Tribolium castaneum: one gene and its partner. The protein of the gene in region 1 interacts with the protein of each later gene in a pairwise test. Links are inferred from orthologs where the notes say so. Each region holds a gene or a part of one and is shown on either strand. Other genes may lie near its edges. The genes, in order: sau and Tctp.

What was found.
Region 2: the proteins of sau (region 1) and Tctp interact in binary tests that used the Drosophila melanogaster proteins (3 or more experiments, as listed by UniProt). The link is inferred for Tribolium castaneum from reciprocal best matches to the Drosophila melanogaster genes sau and Tctp.

The regions. Positions count from the first base shown.
Region 1 is NC_087403.1:8,423,557-8,427,861, forward strand, and holds the start of sau (Golgi phosphoprotein 3 homolog sauron), read right to left. Parts: upstream 2,915-4,305; coding exon 2,729-2,914; intron 2,677-2,728; coding exon 2,430-2,676; intron 2,374-2,429; coding exon 2,198-2,373; intron 443-2,197; coding exon 194-442; 3' UTR 1-193. Other genes in the region: tRNA pseudouridine synthase Pus10, read left to right, coding at 3,361-3,474, 3,520-3,754, 3,801-3,937, 3,989-4,305. UniProt on the Drosophila melanogaster protein: Phosphatidylinositol-4-phosphate-binding protein that links Golgi membranes to the cytoskeleton and may participate in the tensile force required for vesicle budding from the Golgi.
Region 2 is NC_087398.1:7,081,431-7,084,718, reverse strand, and holds Tctp (translationally-controlled tumor protein homolog), read left to right. Parts: upstream 1-1,418; 5' UTR 1,419-1,550; coding exon 1,551-1,578; intron 1,579-1,772; coding exon 1,773-2,031; intron 2,032-2,219; coding exon 2,220-2,451; 3' UTR 2,452-2,721; downstream 2,722-3,288. Other genes in the region: uncharacterized protein LOC135266299, read right to left, coding at 1-679, 730-923, 976-976; spir (protein spire), read left to right, coding at 2,978-3,288. UniProt on the Drosophila melanogaster protein: Involved in calcium binding and microtubule stabilization.

The DNA of each region.
Region 1 (4,305 bases):
CTCTAAACATCAACGAAGCTAAACACCCTGTGTATTACCACTGAAACTGATTATCCTAGTCTAGCCTGTGTACTCCACATAGAAAAAATTTCCAATGTACAAACTAACATCACATTAAATACAAAACTGATAACTTCAATATTTCAACGTAATTTATTTATAGTTAAAATTTAGTAGCAAAAACAGTTTATTTTCATTTCGTGAAAGCGGCGAAAACGGCCCACAGTACCTCCGAAGTGTTTGGTTTGACTGATTCTTGCTCAAAGTCCAAGTCAAGTAACTCTCGTACTCGCTTTATTGCCAATTCGTAGTCGTCGTCATTTAGGGGCGCAAAAGCGTTCTCCAGAACGTCACTAGCATGGGCCAGGAAAATCAACGCCAACATCCGCTTGTCCATGCGCTGGGGGTCGTTCACCCACTTCGTAAGTACGGCATCCTGGATCTGAAAAAGCGGTTTTTTACCCCAAGCCCTCCGCCAGAAATTCAGACACACTTTGCTTAAATTCAAAATAACAAAGTATTTCCCGATCTCTAAAGGGCAAACAATAGTTAACTTGCTTTGCTGCCGAACCAGCTGAAATTTTGCATACATACGTAACCTCCGTGCTATTTAGTTTAATAAGTTAGTTAATTCTGTTAGGATTTTTTAAGACGAAACCAAACCCTTTTTTCCCACAGGAACTAACATATTAACAAGCTAAAATTCATACATACGTAATTTTGTGACATTACAATAATATATACATTATTTAATAATTTGTAAATAATTAACAATTGTAATTAATTTATCAATATCCTGGCCTTTAGTTGAAAAATGGGAATGGGACCAAATCAATTCCAAGTAAAAACACAGTACCCAAAAAATTTTTTGATGAGTTTTTTACATATTTAGCATTATTTTTACGCTTAGGTTCATTTAAATACTTATTAGCAATTCTTTTTCTAAATGAATAAACACTAACTGTAATAAAACATTCCTTTTCCCAAGGTAAAACACCGTATCTACAAAATGTCTTAGAGACAGTCAATCGTAGTCCATTTGTTTACGTAAAAATAACTCATATAGGTGTAAAAAAGAATACATTTATACAATAATATAACTTTTAATCGAACTTTTAGTTTATTATTGGCAATCTATTTTGCTTATTTAAAGCACACAGCAGCACGTTTCTTAAAGTGTCCATGGCAACATTAATAACATAATAACCCAAGAAAAGTGAAAATAAATACTAACTTTTTTAACATTTTTTATTAAAATGATAATCAATTCCATGGCAACGAAAGGTAAACTGATCTCACATTACATTATTTTCAATATTTGTAATATCAATATTTATGATTTCAAAGTGTACCAATAAAAAAACTAACGTAAAGTATTCATGTATAACTCTTTTACGAGCACTCCGGCTACGCCGTCGTGCTCGACAAATCCTGCATATTTTAAATACCTCAATATCCACTTATACTTTAATATCACGTTGTTTTAGATAATTTAATACTCACGTCTTAAACTGTCCTAAAAAAACGATATTTTTAAGTTAAACAATATGAGTAAAGAGTTAGTCATTCAAAGAGGCCGGTTAAATAAGTATTTTTTGGTCTACTGAAAGATTAAAAGCAGATACTGCATTTTAGTTCAAGGCAGTCGAATTAGAGACTAGTATTTTCCAAATATTTGTTATGCACAATCGGTGTCGAATATAATTTACACCAGAGAGTGTAAATAAATACAATAAACTATTCAATAAATAGGAAAAAATAAAGAAAAGGTGAAGAATAAGTTTTTTCTCAGAAACATACATTTGTGCTTATATCTTACAATTTTAAAATTTATAAAAGCTTTGGGAAGGAGTATTGCATAATTACCTCAGTTACACTCTTTCAAAGCTTTTACAAATTTTAAAAACTTAAACTATAAGCAAAAATGATATTTTCTATATACGACGATATAGACTACCCAGAAAACTTAACTAAAAAAAGTGAAGATTTTGAAAGTTGTGGACATAAATACACTTAATTATGTAAAAACGTAACGAAAACAAAAAAATAGAAATGAAGACAATGTAATTAGGGAATAATTCGCAAGTGTAAGTCGTATACTCTTCTTAGTACTTTACCTGCCTATCGTTAAAGTTCTACTTGATCTACTATTTAGTAGAACGGGGCACCCTTTACCACCTGCTGTATCAAAACGTACCTTTTTTATTAAACGGCTTTTGGTGACGTTATCGGTCAGAGGGTGCGTGGTCATATCAAACAGCAGAAAGTTTTGCTTCTCCGTTGTGAGAACCCCCTTCTCGACGAGGTTTTTCGCTAGGCGTTCCCGCACGTTCTTCAGCTGGTAGCGCAGTTTGAGGGGGTTCCAAGTTTCGCCTTAAAAGCACGCAATTAAGTGAACCTGGGGGCAGAAAGGGGCATTTGGAGCATACCGCTGAGGTACTCAATCCAGCTTTGAACCGTTTCTGGTGGATCTGTTTCCTTGAGATGTTTTAAAGCTTCATCTAGGAGGACGTCTCCGGTAGGTGTGTCGTTTTTGAGGATAAGTTTGCGGGTGAGGAGCGCCTTTCGGCGCATACCAGCCCGCTCGAGTTCCACACGTCCACGTAAACCTAACTCGATTAGAATACACCCCCGGAGACCGCTCGAAATGCAGTCGTTCCAAAACGATGTGTAACCCTTAAAAACGACACGGTTAGGTGTGGTGAGCACACGGGGGGCGAAGCCCTACTTCTTTGTCTTTTAAGCCTAATAATAATACTTCTTCCATTAAAGTTAATCGGGTTTCTTTGGAATCGCCCTCGTCTATGTCTTCGTCGTGCTCCTGCTTCTTCTCATTGTTCTGCGATTCTTTCACACCTTCACCTGAGTCACGTATTATGTTTCGTCTTTGCACCAGCCCTTCACTCCGATTCATTTTAATTAAATATCAAATAACTTATTTATTTTCTACAAGACTTGACGTTTAACTGACTTCCATCAACATGGCAAATGTCAAAAGCATGTAGGCTGCTGGCAGAAAACCACTCCGTCCGAAAAATCGACAAATTCGCTCACTTTCTAAGAAAATTATTCATTTCTAGTATTTAACAAACTAAACTAACCCTTCAAGCCTTTTTTTTGGATAAAAAATCAAAAATCGGGAAAAAGTGATTACGTCCTACGATTACGTCACGCTCTTATCAATTCCAATTTAATCCCTTTGTACAGAAAATCTAACAATGCCAAGTAATCAGCACCCACAATTTTTATGATTTCCCCACCACGGGATTTTTTCAAGTTTGGAAAAAATTGTTGTCGAATGGGTTGCATAACCCACCGTTTTTAACCTCACTTTTTGCCACCACATTATTTTATTTAAAAATGACCGAAAGTGATAAAGCCGAAGTTTTCAATTTTTTATTGGAGACTGGGTGTTGCAAAAGGTGCGCTTTACGCTACGTTGGCGATAACACAGCCGATTATGATAATCCACAGGTAAAAAAAAGTCGTATTTTCAACAATTAAAGGTTTTTTTTGTAGCAAAACGGACACGACCAGTTGGCGAAAAAGACGAAATTGAATTCGTGCATAATTTGTCTCGATTTGCTCCAAGATGTGACTCTTGAATCCATGGTTCAGTGTGAAGAACTGGAGGGTGTTAAGGAGTACGATTGCAAGACTTTTATTAATTTCATTAGTTTTCCGGTTGCTGTTCTAATAAGGGAACACAGCATGGAGATTCATATGAATGAGAAGTTCCCCAAGTTTTTTGAAGGTTGTTTGGTTTGCTTGTTGAAATAGTTGAAATGCTTACATTTCAGATCGTAACATTGTTCCAATAAACAGGGCATGGTCCTTGTCAATACAAAACAAACTGGGCGAAAAACTTGGCAAAAAGTTCAATAAAGATTCATTGCTCCAAATCCAGTTTAACACGACTTATGAATTTGAAAAAGAGGTAACGAAAGGACTAACCACTGCTTGTTTAAAAATTAATAAGTTGTATTAGGAGTCGTCAATTATGTTTCTGATGGAAAGTAGACTGAAAAAATCAAATGGACAAAACGAGGGTCTTAGTCGTAACGTAATCGGGGAGTTTTTAAAGACAATAAACACCGAACTTTTCAAAAAACATGCCGCTGTCCCTCCGGAACCGCCCGGGAAAGCTTTAAGTTTCGACCAAGTGGCTTACAAGCACGATTATATTTTTATAGCCGGAAGGTACTGTAAATATTCAAGAAACCTGTTTCAAACACCGTGGGCCAACGACGAAGTCCAAGTAATCAACAGTTCAGTTCAAGAAATTTTATTTAAGTCGCTGGAAAG
Region 2 (3,288 bases), on another chromosome or scaffold:
TCGCTTCTTCAAATTCTCTGAGCGCTGTCTTCTCGTGGGTCTTACCCCACTGCACAGCAGCAACCCTGTCAAGCGAATAGCCTTCCGCCAAATTTTTAAATAAAGAGGGTGGGAATCTTCGTCTACTGCAAGCAGATAGTACCATGCCAAACCTGCTGGCCGTTAAACGATGTTTCCTTGCTACATGCCAATTTTCGTTAACATGTTGGCCCCGAGTGCACGCCTCAACCAGTTTAATGCGTGCCTCATCTATTCTGCACTTCTCCAAAAGAAACTTTTGTTTGTCTATGGCCTGCACGTATTCTAAGCTTTGTAGAATTTCTTCGATATCTGCAATAATTTTTCTGGCTTCTTCACTTGCTTCTGGTCTTAGGAGCCAAGTGAAGCCCACCACATTCGTGACGCCTATTTCGGCACGGAACTGAATAATTTCGTCCTCAGTAGAGGACCTAGACAGTGCCGTATAGTTTGATAATTTCGGCTTGTAAACATCAGCTAACTTAATGACTTCTGTTTGTGGTGTTGTTTTTGATGGGGCACTCCACTGACACTCAATGTCAGTAGCACTTACATTATAATGAGCATAATATAATGCTGCAGCCATATGATGGCAAGCCACGTTGCCCCTTGGGCAGGTACAATGTGCCGTCTTAACCCCTTCTTCTAGGTCATATGAAATCTAAAACACACTTTGTAGAAGAAATGTCTAACAGTTAAATAAATACAAACCTCCACAGTATAATTTAGCTTTTTCATGCTCGGTAGAACTTCTGCAGAAATTCTCATCGGTTGTACTGTGCCATCAAACCTAAATTTGGTGACGTGACCGCTGGTAAAAGCATTTTCTCCCCGAACTAAAAAGCGATTACCGTCCCCAAAAAATTTCGCAATAAAGTGAAACTTAACAATGTGCTTTTCTGCCACTAAAATGCATAAATATAATAGTTTCTCAAAGTATAATTAAAGCTTACTCACTTTCTCACCGACAACGTGGTTCCCTGTATTCTTTTATAAAGTTCGTATTTTCACAAAAAGTCACTTCTAAATTAAATTAAAGTCTCTAGTGGCACAAATTACACCCGCTGCAGCTATTTGACACGTTATTAACGCACAAACACAACCAAAAAACCGAAAAACGTATTACACCACATGTAAAAGACTGGTTGTTTAGCTTTGAGCAACTGACCTACCGTAATAAGAGTGGGGAGGTGACGTCACGACTGATAGCGCGTATTGCCGCGTTCTAAACAAATCCCCCAGAAAAAGCTTTTACCACTTGTACATTTTGGCAGCATTATTGTTCAAATTGTGTCAGGGTGATTATAGTTCTGTTTGTATTACTTCAATCAGGTAAAAAAAAATCAGGTAAAAAAAAATAATTCCTGATTTTTTAAACATGTAAATGGGAATTTTCGGGCAAATGCCAATGCGCGCGCACGTGATGTGTAATTTGAATCTGTCAAAGAAACTTTCGACCTTTTTTGCTGCGTTCTTGTAGCGGACGGGTCGTTTTTAGTTTTCTCAAGAAAAACTACAGCAATCCCTTCAAAATGAGGATTTACAAGGACATTTTTACCGGTAAGTGGCGATTCTCTCAATTTTCTCGCAAATATTTTTGGAAAATGGTGACGTTTTATGCAAAAATTTAACCTTTAAATATCCATCTGTCAGTTCGATGACACTTGAAAGTTCCTCCTTTTGCTGTAAATTCGCAGAATTTGCGATTGGTTGGACTAGCATGTGGTTCCCGACCTAATAATGTACATTTTTAGGCGATGAGATGTTCTCTGACACTTACAAAATGAAACTAGTTGATGAAGTCGTTTACGAAGTTTATGGTAAGCTGATCCAGCGGAAGGAAGGAGACATCCAGCTGGATGGGGCTAACCCGTCCGCTGAGGAACAGGACGAAGGCACAGACGAAAATGTCCAGTCAGGCGTCGACATTGTTATGAATCATAGACTATGTGAAACTTATGCATTTAGTGATAAGAAGTCATACACCGCGTACCTTAAAGACTACATGAAGAAGTGAGTACTTTTGCACGACCGTTGCATGTACTAATACTGGGTGCCGCAACTCGGTGGGGCACTCAGAGCAATTCATGCAAAATTATTGAAGAAGTTATTGTAGTGTTTGCGACCGCAAGCGCATTATTACACTTCTGCAACAGTTTATTGCAAAGTTGAATGTTTGCAAATTGGTTTGTTGTTTCCAGATTGGTAGCTAAATTGGAGGAGAAATCTCCCGACCAAGTAGAAGTTTTCAAGACCAACATGAACAAAGTGATGAAGGATATTTTGGGGAGGTTTAAGGAGCTCCAGTTCTTCACTGGAGAGTCCATGGATATTGATGGAATGGTTGGTCTGATGGAATACAGAGAAATTGATGGAAATTCTGTGCCAGTGATGATGTTCTTCAAACACGGCCTGGACGAGGAGAAATTTTAGTTTGTTTAAATTATTGCTTTTTGTTATATATACCATTTTATTTATAATTCCATTGAGATTTGTCTTCAAATTCTAACATGATTCAAACAATGACTTGCTTTCCAAATTCTAATTGTACGAGCAATCTTTTGTGCGGCAACAATTATGAATTATACTCATAAGGAAATTGAAATAAATGATTACTTCCTTATAAGTATTTTTTGTTGAACATTGGCTGTAACAATACTGTAATTTTGTGCGTTTTACCGAAAATAATTTTCTACGACCCAATACGGCCTTTTTATTACATCTACCCTGTTTCTAATTATTGAATTGAATTGTTTGAGTTCAGAAAGTAAAAATGTTTTAGTGTTTTTTTAAATTAGGTTGGTACGTTGTTGCCCGTGCATGCGCACATCATTTGATCGATAACGTGTGTGGGTGCATCTGTCAGTTTCAAGGTTTCCGCATTGATTATTTAGGTTAAGACAGTTCTCCAATGCTCCGCAAGTGGGCAAGTCCGTGTTTGTGTGTGAAATAAACAAACATGTCAGCAAAGGCCAAGTGTAAAGTGAATTCGGACGGCAGTGTTTGCTTGGAGGACATCCTCAACTCGTTCAACTCCTCGATTCGGGAAGAGCACGCTTGGGCCCTTTGCTACCAATGTGCAAAGTATTACAGCGAGTGCGTCTCGTCCCGAAAACAAAACGTTCACATAGTCACAGAAGTCCGTCATGTGTACTTGCAGACGGACGGCAACGTGCACGAGAACACGATCAAAGCCAGAGACACCCCCAGGAAGCTGCTGCGATGCGAGAAGGACGTGATCGCGGGCCTGGGGGTGGTGATATACATCGC